3 linked regions of the Drosophila melanogaster genome follow. The protein of the gene in region 3 interacts with the protein of the main gene of each other region in a pairwise test. Each region holds a gene or a part of one and is shown on either strand. Other genes may lie near its edges.

Region 1 (5,053 bases), on a different chromosome or scaffold from region 3:
AAGTCGCATCTTCAAGTTCGAGCGATTTGGAGGGGTTGGAAAAGGGGGCAAATCTGCGGAGAAGACCCAAACAAAGTTTCTCTCTGAAGAAACTGATTCTGCCAGCTCGAAATGGACCCAGACAGGTAGCAGCTGCGCCTAATTGTCGAAAGTATCTGGCAGATACATTTCTTTTTGTCACGTTTAGTTGGCTTTTGTGTCTTTGCTCTGATGTCAGACAACCTTGAACCTTTTGTGGCGTTTGTTTTTCTGCTGCCGTTTTTCAAATATTTATAACCGCTATCAACAACTTTTGCTTTCGTTGTTCGAGTGCTAATTGGCGCGGAAATCGCTGGAAGCCGGTTTAAACAATCGAAAATTGTAAGCCAGTTTTGGGCATTAGAAGTTCATGAATTTTTCAGTGCTAAAGTCACATAGTTTTGCCTCAGATCCGAAGGGGCTAGCTATGGGATAATTATAGAAATTTATCAATTAATGTCGACCGATTGGTAGTGAACATTTGCTTGGTTGGAGGCTGGGCCATTTAATAATAGTCGAACGTTGTTTTATAGTGATAAATTGATTGAAAAATGATTTGATAACAATCTGAGATAATGTATCTATTGAACTATTTTCTTTGCTTTACATCTCTCAGACTGTTTTTGCCCCACTACGCAAAATGAAAAAAATGTAAATATATAATTGCACTGTCATTAATAATGAACAAAGATTATGTCGTCATTCAAATGATAAGCTCATTTATATTGAAAAAAAAGGTTAATATATTTAGACTGGCTTAATTGGTTGTTATGGATTTTTATAGCTTCACATAAAACTGAGTCGAATGCAACTTTTTTCATAAGATGTTTCAATGACCACAGCTTATCCTAGATGTTTCCCCGTGTTTTCGAAACCTGACTGCACTTCTAGATTTATGATTTATTCAAGATCTCCCAATGCCCCGTCCCAAATCTCTTTTGAAGTCCTCCCAGATCGCCTTCCGCATAAATTTCCGCGCACTTCAAGAGCTTTCTCCGAACACTTCTCCCGTATCTAGATAAATGTTTCTTCATGTTTGTTTCCCATTTCTTGGCCTTTTTGCTGTGTGTTTTTTGTTTGGATTCGTTTCGTTTTTTAGTTTACTATTTTTATTGTTTGCGGGGTACAAGAGTACAACTCACTTGTAGGAGCGCTATCACCAGCTGGATGGGTCCGCATCGGACGACAACGGTGCCAATGGTGGTGGCTCTCAGGGAGGAGGAGGATGGTGGTGTGGTGTGGGTGGTGCCGGTGCCGGTGCCCGTGCCCGTGGACATGGCTGTGGACATGGCCTGACTTGGAGTCGGCGACGATGATGACATTGTTGCTGAATAATTGAAGGCGTCTAGCTGGGACTGCTGAGATTGCTGGGATTGCTGCGTCTGAAGTTGGTGGCCGGTGTGCGGCTGGCGGGGATTGGGATTCGAGGAGGAGGCGACCGAGTAGAGCGAAGACATCGATGAGTCTAGGGCTTGGCGGCGTTCCATGGTTGCTTTTCTTTCTATCTGCTCGTCTCTACTTCTCTCTGTTTTCTTTTTTTTTGACTAACTTTCGAGGATTGAGTGAGTGCTTGTAGTTTGGTGTGTTTTGCGTGGGCGTTTTATAATCTCTGTCGTTTAGTTTTTCTCGTATTTTGGCTTACTTCCCCTGCTTGTGTCTCGTGTTTTGCATTTTGAACTCTGCTCGAAAAAGTGGAACTATTAGATTGAGTCACTCGCGTTCGGATTTAATTTATTGGGATTAGTTATAGCCAGGGGATTCGATTCGGCGGTTCCTTCGTTTCGTTGCGAGCGCTATCAACGCCGGCGATCGTCTGAGAACCTCCGCGAATCGGTAGATTTTCGAAACGGAGAATTCTTTTTGCCCGCCGCGATGACTATGACTTCATACTCGCGCTCTCCCTGTCGCTCTAGTGTCTGTTTATTATTCCGTAGTGTCTATATATACGGCTATATAGCCGAGAGAATCGTGTGTACTTTTTGCATATTGAGCCTGAGAAAATTGCCTTTGATGCGTGTGCTAGTCTCGTTGTAGAACCTCGGTAGCCCCCCGCCCCGCCAAAACTCAAAGACAATGCTCGATTCGCGTTTATTTTTAAAACAACAAACTATTGAGTAATTTTTTGCGGCGATTTCTGCCACGAAGCTAAACTGTTGTTCTAGCCCAGATACTCAGATACTGCGATGCTACAGATACAGGCTACTATAGCTAATAGATAAAGCGCGCGGATGTTCGTCAAATCTGTAACATGTGCCAATTGCATTGGCAGAAGTCGTCGCCAGTCAGTCATTTTTCATGGATTTTTCGATATTTTTGAATACATTACGCATACGCCGCGTATGCTCGTGTGCAGCCAGCTGCCTCCATTAGGTAATTTTTGGTGTTTCTCTCAATTTTTAATAGTCGCCGCCGTTGCTGGCGTAATGTAAACTATTTTAATTGTACTTTGCGCTGTCTAAAAATAAGCAGCAAACCAAAAATTGGGAAGAACAAGTTCCCTTTATAAAAGTTTACAGTAGCGCAATCGAGGAAATGCTTTGCCTCCATATGTTGTTGTCCAAAAAATTTAAAAGAAAAAAAAATGGAAAATTGTTGATTGAAATTTTCTGGGGCGTGGACTGTTGTAGTATATTGAAATATGCACATGACTCAAACAAATAAGCTTTCAATGCATCAGGTCACCGAATATTTTTGAAAAATATTTTTTTCGCGCATTCTGTGTCGTTTTCTATTTGTTAAACATTTTGTTTGTGCTTTCTGAGGGTCGTCACAAAACTGAATATTCGACAACAACAATAAATTTAGCACAGATTGTTGATTTCATCTTTAGACGAGTGAACGCAAAAAAAACTAGCGCCAAGCATTTTTGAATGTCAAAAATGTTCTAGGTAAATTATGGCTGATTAATTTACGTTTCATTTCGCTTTTTTTTTGAAGTGCCAAATTTATTGTTTTCTTCCTCGTTTTCTGCCTAACTTAATTTACATAGATATGTTTTTATTCGCACATTATATTCGAGCGGTGGAGATGTGGAAAATCAAAACGCGCGCGCCGCTTTCCCAACAGCCGAACAACCGAACGCCGCGAACTTCGAACAAGACTGACTAAATGATCGGAAGACTGAAGACCGGAGACCGAAGACTGAGCAGATTCTACGGGAGACAGCCGATCAGAAAGAGATAAAGAGCGTGCAGCCCATGAAACTTAACCGATTCGCTCAATTCATTCATGCAGGTAGCGGTTCTCTTGTTTTGATCTCTTGACACTGGCTAAGCTCAGTTTTGAAAAGCCGGCTTGTATTTTGAAAATGAGAGAGTGTGAAAGAGAGGGCTGGAGACGCTAGACGCTAGAGAAAGAGGCAAGATGCGGGGCTTCAGGGGAGACGACATAAATAAACAAGTGCTCTTGGCATTCGCGGCGTCGTTAATTCATGATTTCAATTTTTAATGCCCTGCGCCCGGCTTTTCAGCAATTACAATACGAAGAGAAGGTAAAGCGATATGAAGCGAGCTTGTACCCTGTAATTCTGATGATAAAGGGTAACTTTAAGCGAACTGTTGCTACCCTCTTATGCCCTCACTTTATTTATTCGCATTTACTTTTGAATATTCATCTAACTTAACATCTTATGTGTGGATGATTTTTCCCCTTGGCTAGACCTTTTCCTCGTTGGTCTTATACACCCCATATAAGACGAGGTACCTTAAACCACAACATATTCAAGTGCAGCTTTTGTACTTTAATAACATGGTGAAGAGTGGAAGATCAAAATAACAACACCAGAGCAGCGGAGGAAACCAGACGATATCGTGTCTTAATGCAAGGCAAACTGACTGACCGCCCGCATTTAAATCCCCTCACCACCCATGATGCTCTATACCCCAATTTATGAAGTATTTTTCACCCAAAATGCGTGTCTTGCAGCTTTGGCTTTGGCTCCGGATTTCGTGCAATATTCAACGTGCAACATCCGACGCTTCTTGCGTGCAACAGCAGTTGCGGCAATCAATGCGCTGCAGATGTGTGTTATTATTTTTCGCTATCAACGATTCGAACTTATCGAATTATGCTTTCAGCGCCGGCACGTCAGAAAATCTGGTCGAATGGCATGAAAAGAATCTCATAGATATTTGGTTCGCCTTTCTGGATGATCAGCTCGTTAAGTATAAACTCTTTTCACTCACTCACCACACTCAGAGCGATTTATTTATATGTTTTTTAATTGAGATTAATGAGCCACTTGACGAAGCTCACAAAAGCAGCCAACCCCTCTTAACCCCATTTCCCCGCTGCACCCACTGCCAGTTCACATTTCAGATAATTGAAATCACTTGAGGACCACTTGTTAAATGTTTGGGGGAAAGGGCCACCCACAGAGGGAAATTGAAAAAAATTATTTAGGGTGGAAAAGTCCAAAAGAGCACTCAAGGGTTAAGTGCAGATGATGGCAATGACTTTTCACGGATGCAGCCCAAAGTTATGCAATGTTTTCATGGATTTTCGAGATTACATTCAAATTTTGCAGTTACGAGTTACTTACTTGCTTAAGCATAAAATTTAAAACTAAATACCTGAAAAGTTAGGAGGTATTGAAAAAAATTATAAATGATTAGCTTTATTTTTGGGGTAAAACATGTTCGATATTAATTGCACTATGTTTTGTGACTGTGACTGTGTGGGAGAAATAGTTATAAATAAATATTAAACATATGATTAATGGCAAAAATTTCGACTGGCCGTAAGTGAATTTAAATTCTTACTTTAAATATATTTTCTAACCATTTGGGAATTCTCTAATTTTTGCAAGCCTTAGACTTAATTTGAACTAACTAAATAAATATTTCTACTACTATATTTAAAGCAGAGAAAGTATAAGCAAAAGACATTTTTCAAACATAAAATATTTAAAAACCTTTTGCGCAGGCATTTTAGTATATCTTTTAAGCTAAAGTTCAATCGAACTAATAAATTTTGGTAGAAAACAGTGAACAATCATGCAAAGTAAAATGGCAAACAAAATAAAAAAGACAAAAAC
Region 2 (2,799 bases), 2.8 Mb from region 3:
GTCACATCACGAGCTGGCTGGCTGGGTTCTGTGTAGACCCGGTTGTATAACCACTCTTAAATCATTTCGTTTGCCACAGAGGAGCCTGGGTTTTCACTTCCAAAATGGGGACTACTTACCATGGAGGCGACTGCATTTTTGGCCAAAATCGATGGCACACGCATGATTCCGGACATGTTTGGCTGGGCTGTGAGGTTCTACTGCAAGATTCTGCAAGAGATTGGACCGAAAACGAGGTTTTACGCGCTTGTAAGATGGGGTGTTTGGTGTTGGTACAAAATAAAAACAAATAACTACGTGTATCGATGTGTCTATGTGATCGAAAAAGGAAAAGTTTACAAACTTTCAAATGTTGTGTGTGAACTGCCGCTCGTCGGCACTGCAGTTCGGTTCACTGACTCGCTCAATGAACGCTGAACCGGAACTAGTTCATCGCAGAAAGGCGTTAATCCGCTTTAAGTTCAAAATGTATATAGATACCGCGTACAAGCATACATATTTTTGGAATGGAATTTTACCATCTCAGCCGTACGTATTTATTTGCATATATCGTAGAGATAAATAAACCTTCGTTCATTGAACCAAAACCTAATGAACTGTTTTTCTCCCAGCCAAAGTGGCCAGAACACAAAAATCCCAAAATCTTTAAAATGTACAAAACAGCTGATTTATTGTTTATTTGGGGGTGGTTGAACGATAAAGATTTAAAAATTCAAATGCATATTTATAGAATTACAGAGAGATTAGTGTCTTTACAAAATGTCTATTTAAAATGAGATTCACTTGAGATTCTGTTAATTTGGCGGCACCTTTTTGCCACAACGCTGGGCAAATTCCTCAGGCGTGAGATCAGCCAAATGATTAATTCCCATTTTCCAAGTCACTTCGCCCTTCTCGAACTTCCGATTGTGTTCCTCAATCCGGGCTTTGGACTCGGCGTAGATTCTACGACGCATCAGATCCTCCTCTGCCTCGTAGTTCTTGTCGAACTTGGACTATGGTGGAATCAAGTGATTTCTAAATATTGCGTCGCTTGCTAGGACATATTGGGCCTACCTTGTACTCCACCCACTCCTCATCTGAAACCAGGGACATCTTGACACTTGTAATTTTGGTGACCGACTAAATTTCGTTTCAATTCTCAGGTTTTATCACGGTTTCGCACTGAGTCACAACATATAAACACAACAAAGAAACGATAATATATGCAGCTGATCAGAGATGCCACTTCGGTGAAAAACAAACATAAATAACAGTGGGCCCTCGTTTATGAAAACCGGATACTATTCAAATTCGATTTAAATCATATGCTAAATTCTCAAACATTATAAACATTTAATGCAAAACCATTGTTACATTTTTTGGAATGACTACTCAAAAAATAAATACAAATAAAAAAAACCTCTTTTCAAATACTTTTGAATTTTGTACAATTTTCAAGTTTTTATTTATTACGTGTTTACTTCTTCGTGTGTGTCGTGTTTTTTCTTGTGTATAATACGAATTTAAATATATATTTATATGCATTTTCTTACACTCTAAACAAATTTTATGAATAAACTTTCGGCTTCTCGTTTGCTTTTTTCAAAAGTTTTTTTATTATTTGCACAGAGTGAGAATATTGACATATTTCTAATGTTAATCTAAGGACAAAATTATACAGACTTTTTCGCCTTAATGACGCAAAAAAGTTGCTAGAAATAAGCTTCTGTCGTTGCGCAAATAATCAGTTTAATTATACTTTATATTTTGCCGTTTTTTTTTTTTGTTTGTTTGTTTGTCTAAGGCTCAGCAATGCAAGTATTATGTTGTAAAGAGAGTGTTTTCAATGTGGTGGTGGGTTTGGGTAGGAAAAGCAGAAACATTCGATTTATCTGGCATTAATCATCGGGGTTTTAATTTTATGTCAGTTAATTTGAAATGTAAATGCGTTTAAGTTGTGCCTTAAAGTTTTACATGCTATGGCAGTCGTATATAGTTAATTGCAGTATTCGTTATTCATCGATTTGAATATTATAAATGGAAAAGCGATTACAAATCAAGCACATCTACTTACAAAAGAAATGCTGAAATTTGATTCTTGGAGATAATTTTTGGAAAATTCCAACCATTCTCAGTGATTGTGTTGTTTCTGCTTTCCTCAGAGTAATCGCATGTTTTAATGCGGGCGTGGTGTATTTTTGGATTTTCGTTTTCTTCATAATTTATTGGTTTTTATAAATATATATATGTATATGTATGTATAAACAGTTTTACGTACATAAAAATATATAATTATTTATATAAAAAACTAATACAATTGCTGCATGTATACAATAATTATTTATTCGTTTTGTGTGCAAATTGTGGCTGCCCGGAATTTAAAAACAAAACAAAAGAACACAAAAACATAAAACGCGCTTTCACAAAACACACACATGCCTAGAATATCAAATTGTAGTTGTTGTCATCGAATTTATTGCATTTCTAAAAAAATATTGCATTTAAGTATTATGCATGTACCACGCTTGTACGTATGTGTCTAAAAACAAAAGTTTGCCTTTGTTTCAAACAAATCTTTGTTTGTCGTTAGAGTTGCCTGGGAATTTGTACCCTTTTTTATCTGTTCATTTGCTTTACCATGTCATCATGTAGTAAGGTGTGTTGCGTAGTTATTTTATAAGCTAATACATCTAGAAGATATTTGCAAGTTACTTGTTTAGGACAAAGCGGCGGTGTCGGATATTGCGTGTACACCTGCAAACCTCATTCTCGTTTATCATACAAATTGTTGTGTGAATTGCATTTATCTCTCTCTGT
Region 3 (4,881 bases):
CTGCTGAGCGTGAATGTCTCGAAGATCACCAACCTGATTGGTACCTTCCGCTCGGGAGTGATGAGCTTCAATAAGATGGCCGATCCCAAGGAGGAGCCCACACTGGCGGAAATGACGCGCAAAGCAATCGAGGTGGTCAGCAAACGCGATGGTGGCTACTTTCTGTTCGTCGAGGGTGGACTCATCGATTATGGCAACCACTTCAACTCCCCAACCTATTCGCTCTCAGAGACGCTTCAGTTCGAGCAGGCTGTTCAGGAGGCTCTGGATATAACCGATCCCGAAGAGACCCTGATTGTAGTCACCTCCGATCACGCCCATCCATTGACCATCTCTGGTTATCCTGGCAGAGGAACCCCCATTTTGGGTCTCAATCAGGATGACACCGATGTGAATGGAGTTAAGTACGCCACTCTCAACTATGCAGTGGGAACCAATCAGTATCTGGATGAGCACGGCCAGCGCATCGATCTTACGGATCAAATTGGAGCGGAAGGTAAGTGAATTCTACTTTTGGGCGCCTTGATAAGTGATAAGCGAACCAATCTGCTTTCCTTCTAGACTTCATCCACCCCAGCTACATCCACGGCACTATTGGCGTTCATGCTGGCGATGATGTGGGAATCTTCGCTACTGGTCCGCAAAGTCATCTCTTCACCGGCGTGATGCAGCAGAGCACCATTCCCCACCTGATGGCCTATGCCTCCTGCATTGGCAATGGACCCACTCTCTGTGACAATGAGGACTAGAATTTTAATGAATCTATAATATAGAGTATTTGGAAAGCACCCTGCTCTCACTTTGATTTGATTCTGGGGGAGCACTTTGCAGAAATCAATAATCAAATTGGCCCGACTCCCGTAATTTATTGCACGAGTCTGCCGAATTGACTTCAATTTAAAACGCATCAGCGAAAAGACAGACACTCGCAGATGCAGATACAGATACAAACAAAGATTTAGATAGATTGAGCGATCGCATCGATTTGTTGCCAGTCGATGGCTGTCACTTGTGGGGGGTAAGGAATAAATATGAATTCGCTGAATGTCAGGTTCAAGCATTGGCATTGCCGACACTTGGGGATACGCAGATACACAGATATGCCGTAGATATATAGATGCACAGATGTAGATATATTGACTCCCACACGCATCTGGAGCAGCTCCTTCACTCGCTCTGACTTTGACTTGTAATTGTTTGCTTGTTTATGGGTTTGCGCATTCAACAGAATTTATTTAAATGCGCTTGACATGAAGTGAGTCGAGATGAAGGCGCAGCTCCAGACAATTAAGCTTAATGTTTTCTCGTTTCTTACGCAATTAAGGATCGCTCTGGCCAAGGCGGTGTCCTCGATCCCCAACGACTTCAATAACTCAATTATTCGTCTGCACACACAGAAAATATTCCGATTCGTACATTGAAATATTTAAATTGCCAAAAGAGGAACATATTAAAATGTTTATTGTAGCATTTGTTTAAAGTACTAAAGTAGTGATCTTGTTAGTGAAACTTATATTTTAAAGTAAGTTCATTCCAGCTCATTTTCGCTCGTGCCTTGTCCTTGTTTCGGATTACTTTGAGTCTTTATTTTGGGAATTTTTGTTGTTTAAAAGTTCTGAAAAATTCGCTTGTTCAACGATTGCTGGCTCAGCGAAAAGTGGAAGCCAGGGGTTCGTTTACTTAGTGTTGTGGTCGTAAAACGCAAATCGCTTGTCGGCAGCAGCTTGTCGGCTTTTAAAGTCGCGTCGTTTCCCCATTCGCAGTCCTCAGATCGCAGTTCAGTTTGCAGCTCAGCTTGGTCTGCTAACTTGGCTCAGTCTCAGTTTGGGTTCCAAATCTGTCGCGTGCGGATCAGATCAGTCTTTACAGTTTATGCCCGATTTGACGCTAATTTCAGCTGACTTTTCGTCTGGCTGGCTAATAGTGCGCGAGTTTATCTTTAACGTTTGAATCTCAGTTTCGGCGATTACCAACTGAATTGTGTGTGACAGGTGAGAATTTGTGGTAGATAAACTTACAGATAAACCGAGTCCAGTTCGAATTGCAACGCAGAGCAAGTGTTGAAATTGTAATTGAATGCGTGGCTCGGCGGGAAATCAATATCAGATGGATTGTCTCCGGATTTGCGGTTAACGAACAGACATTCGAGTCGGAAAACAACAACAGGAGGATCTCGTTCTGTGAGCTATATCAGTTGGCACTTGCTAATTTGCTAATTAATCAGACTAAGCAAACAGCCCTATACCGAGATATGACCTTAAATATTTGCTCTACTTTGGCCATTTAAGCCGCGCAATCCGTTTAGATAAAGAGCTAACCCATTTAGCCCAACTATTTCCCCTTTCGCCAGCGCCAGCTGGAAATTTGGACGGCAAACACAAACATTTATCAGAAATCTGAGCAAACTTGCATTTTCCACGGGACGCACCGCTAGAAAGTCTGGAAGATGCTTGTGCCACTTTGGGCCAAGATCGGGTCTGGCCAAAAGCGCTGATGGCGGTTCGTGGGTGCACAGCAGATGGAGATGCATTCACCAGATACGGATGCTAAATCCGCCTGAGTCACGCTATTTATAACAGCAAAAAAAAAAAACAACAAAATAATGAAATCTCCACCGACACGACTGCAATCGATCATCGCAGAGGAAAGCGGTGGGCTTTTGGCACCGAATTTTTACCTAAAAACCAAATAGACAACCTGGGGATTGCGTCTTATTTTCGATGTGCAGCTGGAATTCCTCCGGCGATGTTTACTTTGGGCATTAGCTTTTGCTGCCGTCAGGCGAACATGTTATTCTAGTTCTGTGTATTTTGCTCTACTGACCGTGAACTTGAACAAATGGAAATGCAAATGCAACCCATACAAACAGGCGAATGCACTATCCTTTGGATTTGAAGTTAAGTGCCTGATTCGGTGAGACTGAAGCTAGCGTAACCCCTGAGAAGTGTCAGGTATCAGTGGGCAAAATGTGACGATTCAGCTTTATAATCATGGATATATGTATCTCTATGTAAATATGGCTGGTCTCTAAGGTTAACCAGAATTCGGGCAGGAAGCGAATTGCTCGAGCAATCTGTAACGAAACACCATCAACAATACAAACCAGAGCAGCCAAATATTCAATATTATATAGTATCGCAACTAATCCCATAAATTTGTTAGTTTTCATCTTTGAGCGGACAAAGCAAACACGCAATCCGGTCCAGTTCCGGCACCTCCCCCCACCGAAGCCCCTACAAAAACAAATAACAAAAACAAACCGAAAGCAAGCACACCTGACAAAGGTGAGTGAGCAAAAACCCAGAAACATGGCTACTGGTCTTGTCCAGGTGATGTCATATTTATCTCTGTTCGCGGGATGGCTGGCGCTTCTGGGGCTGGGGATCTTGAACTGTGTAGCATAATGGCAGCTCCGAAATGAATTCCTCCTCCCTGCCATAGTTACGATCCTAACGTCGCCGATCCAATTTGCATTTACATAATTCTCAGAGACTTTACGACTCGTTAAGTATGTGCCACAACCCTCAGGCCTATTTGATTACCTTTGTGGGATTTGCATAATCAATGATTCGAATAGCTCAGATTTGAGAGCGACGAAAATGGGGGAAGTGCTAGTGGGGGCCCACTGTAGACAGGGGGGAACGTGACGATGTCATTAGGCAAAGCGCCATTTAAATGGATTGGCCTGGGCAACAGAACACAGCTCAGCTAGAAAATCGGCAATTAAAATGTAAATTGCATCACATGCAGTTTACAATTGCTCCATCATCGTTTTGATATATGGCTCATACGCACCGTTGGCCGACTGCAGCTCGGCGGTTAAGGTTATTTGTGAATAGTGAGTAAATATGTTAAATGCACACATTTATTTATTCAATCGCAATTGACACGCTTTGGGTGTTTTGGGTCCGATCGTAGCATATTTTCGTAATTGATTCGAATCGTTATTATGGCTATTACGATTACTACAATGTGGTTATGAGTCGCCGAGGGGCTTGCATGCGATTAATGGACACCCACACCTCTCGACACTGAACTTTAACCTTTCCCAGGTGATGGAATGTACATATCGGTATTTTTATTTATTTTACCTCCTATTTTTATTCGCCATTTGACGAGAAGTACGATCTGCTGTTGTCACAGTGCTTGCCACCGCCGTCGAATTTGATTTACGGCACGTATCGACTCCCATTCAATCAGTGATTCAATGGCGCTAAATGGAAAATGCATTTAGCTATCACTTGGCTGTCAGCAGGTTGACAAATGACGTCACCGATGATTATCGTACGCTCCATTGCCAATTGCAAATACGGATCTACGTGACGTCACGGCCCACCTGCACTGCAGCGCTAGGCATTTCGGCCCGGTTGTTATTTGGCCAAGAAACATGGCCTATTTGCTTTTCCCAGTCGATATTTGTGGCCCATTAGCAGTTCACACCTTGGCAAGCGCTAAAGTGGCGCCCTGCGATCGAAAACAGGGGACCTGTTGGCACTTTCAATTATGCACGCCGTGCTAATTGAACTTGGCCAAAGTGAAACCCCAGTCCAGAAAGTGACAGCCAGTCAGATCGAAAGATAGAGCGAATAAAGCCATAATAGTTCATGAATGAGTAGTGGACGTCGCCTAAAGTGGGAATTGTTTCTCCATCAGATAGTTAATTCAAACGCCTCTAACGACAAGAAATGTTAAATACTGTCAAATTATTTATTCATATTTTTAAGCTTAGGAAGAAATATTATTATATTTTCAGTCAATTTCATTCAATTTTCTCTACTGTATTTGTTGATAAAAATGCGGCAGCTCTTTTAAGCAGAAAGGTCTTCTATTCTTTGGGTGTTTTTTTTTTTTTGGCGACAATTAATTTATGTGATATTTTGT

Evidence for each region.
Region 1: the proteins of Swim (region 3) and zormin interact in a two-hybrid assay, tested with the Drosophila melanogaster proteins (one large-scale study listed by BioGRID).
Region 2: the proteins of Swim (region 3) and cer interact in a two-hybrid assay, tested with the Drosophila melanogaster proteins (one large-scale study listed by BioGRID).

What each region holds. Positions count from the first base shown.
Region 1 is NT_037436.4:2,148,585-2,153,637, forward strand, and holds the start of zormin (zormin), read right to left. Parts: upstream 3,117-5,053; 5' UTR 3,026-3,116; intron 1,698-3,025; 5' UTR 1,506-1,697; coding exon 1,161-1,505; intron 1-1,160.
Region 2 is NT_033778.4:19,395,568-19,398,366, forward strand, and holds cer (crammer), read right to left. Parts: upstream 1,206-2,799; 5' UTR 1,096-1,205; coding exon 1,057-1,095; exon of another isoform or gene 996-1,056; coding exon 795-995; 3' UTR 648-794; downstream 1-647. Other genes in the region: SdhA (succinate dehydrogenase, subunit A (flavoprotein)), read right to left, coding at 120-176.
Region 3 is NT_033778.4:22,199,600-22,204,480, reverse strand, and holds the start of Swim (secreted Wg-interacting molecule), read left to right. Parts: upstream 1-1,809; 5' UTR 1,810-1,991; exon of another isoform or gene 1,992-2,566; intron 2,567-2,677; exon of another isoform or gene 2,678-2,973; intron 2,974-4,881. Other genes in the region: Alp7 (alkaline phosphatase 7), read left to right, coding at 1-496, 562-749.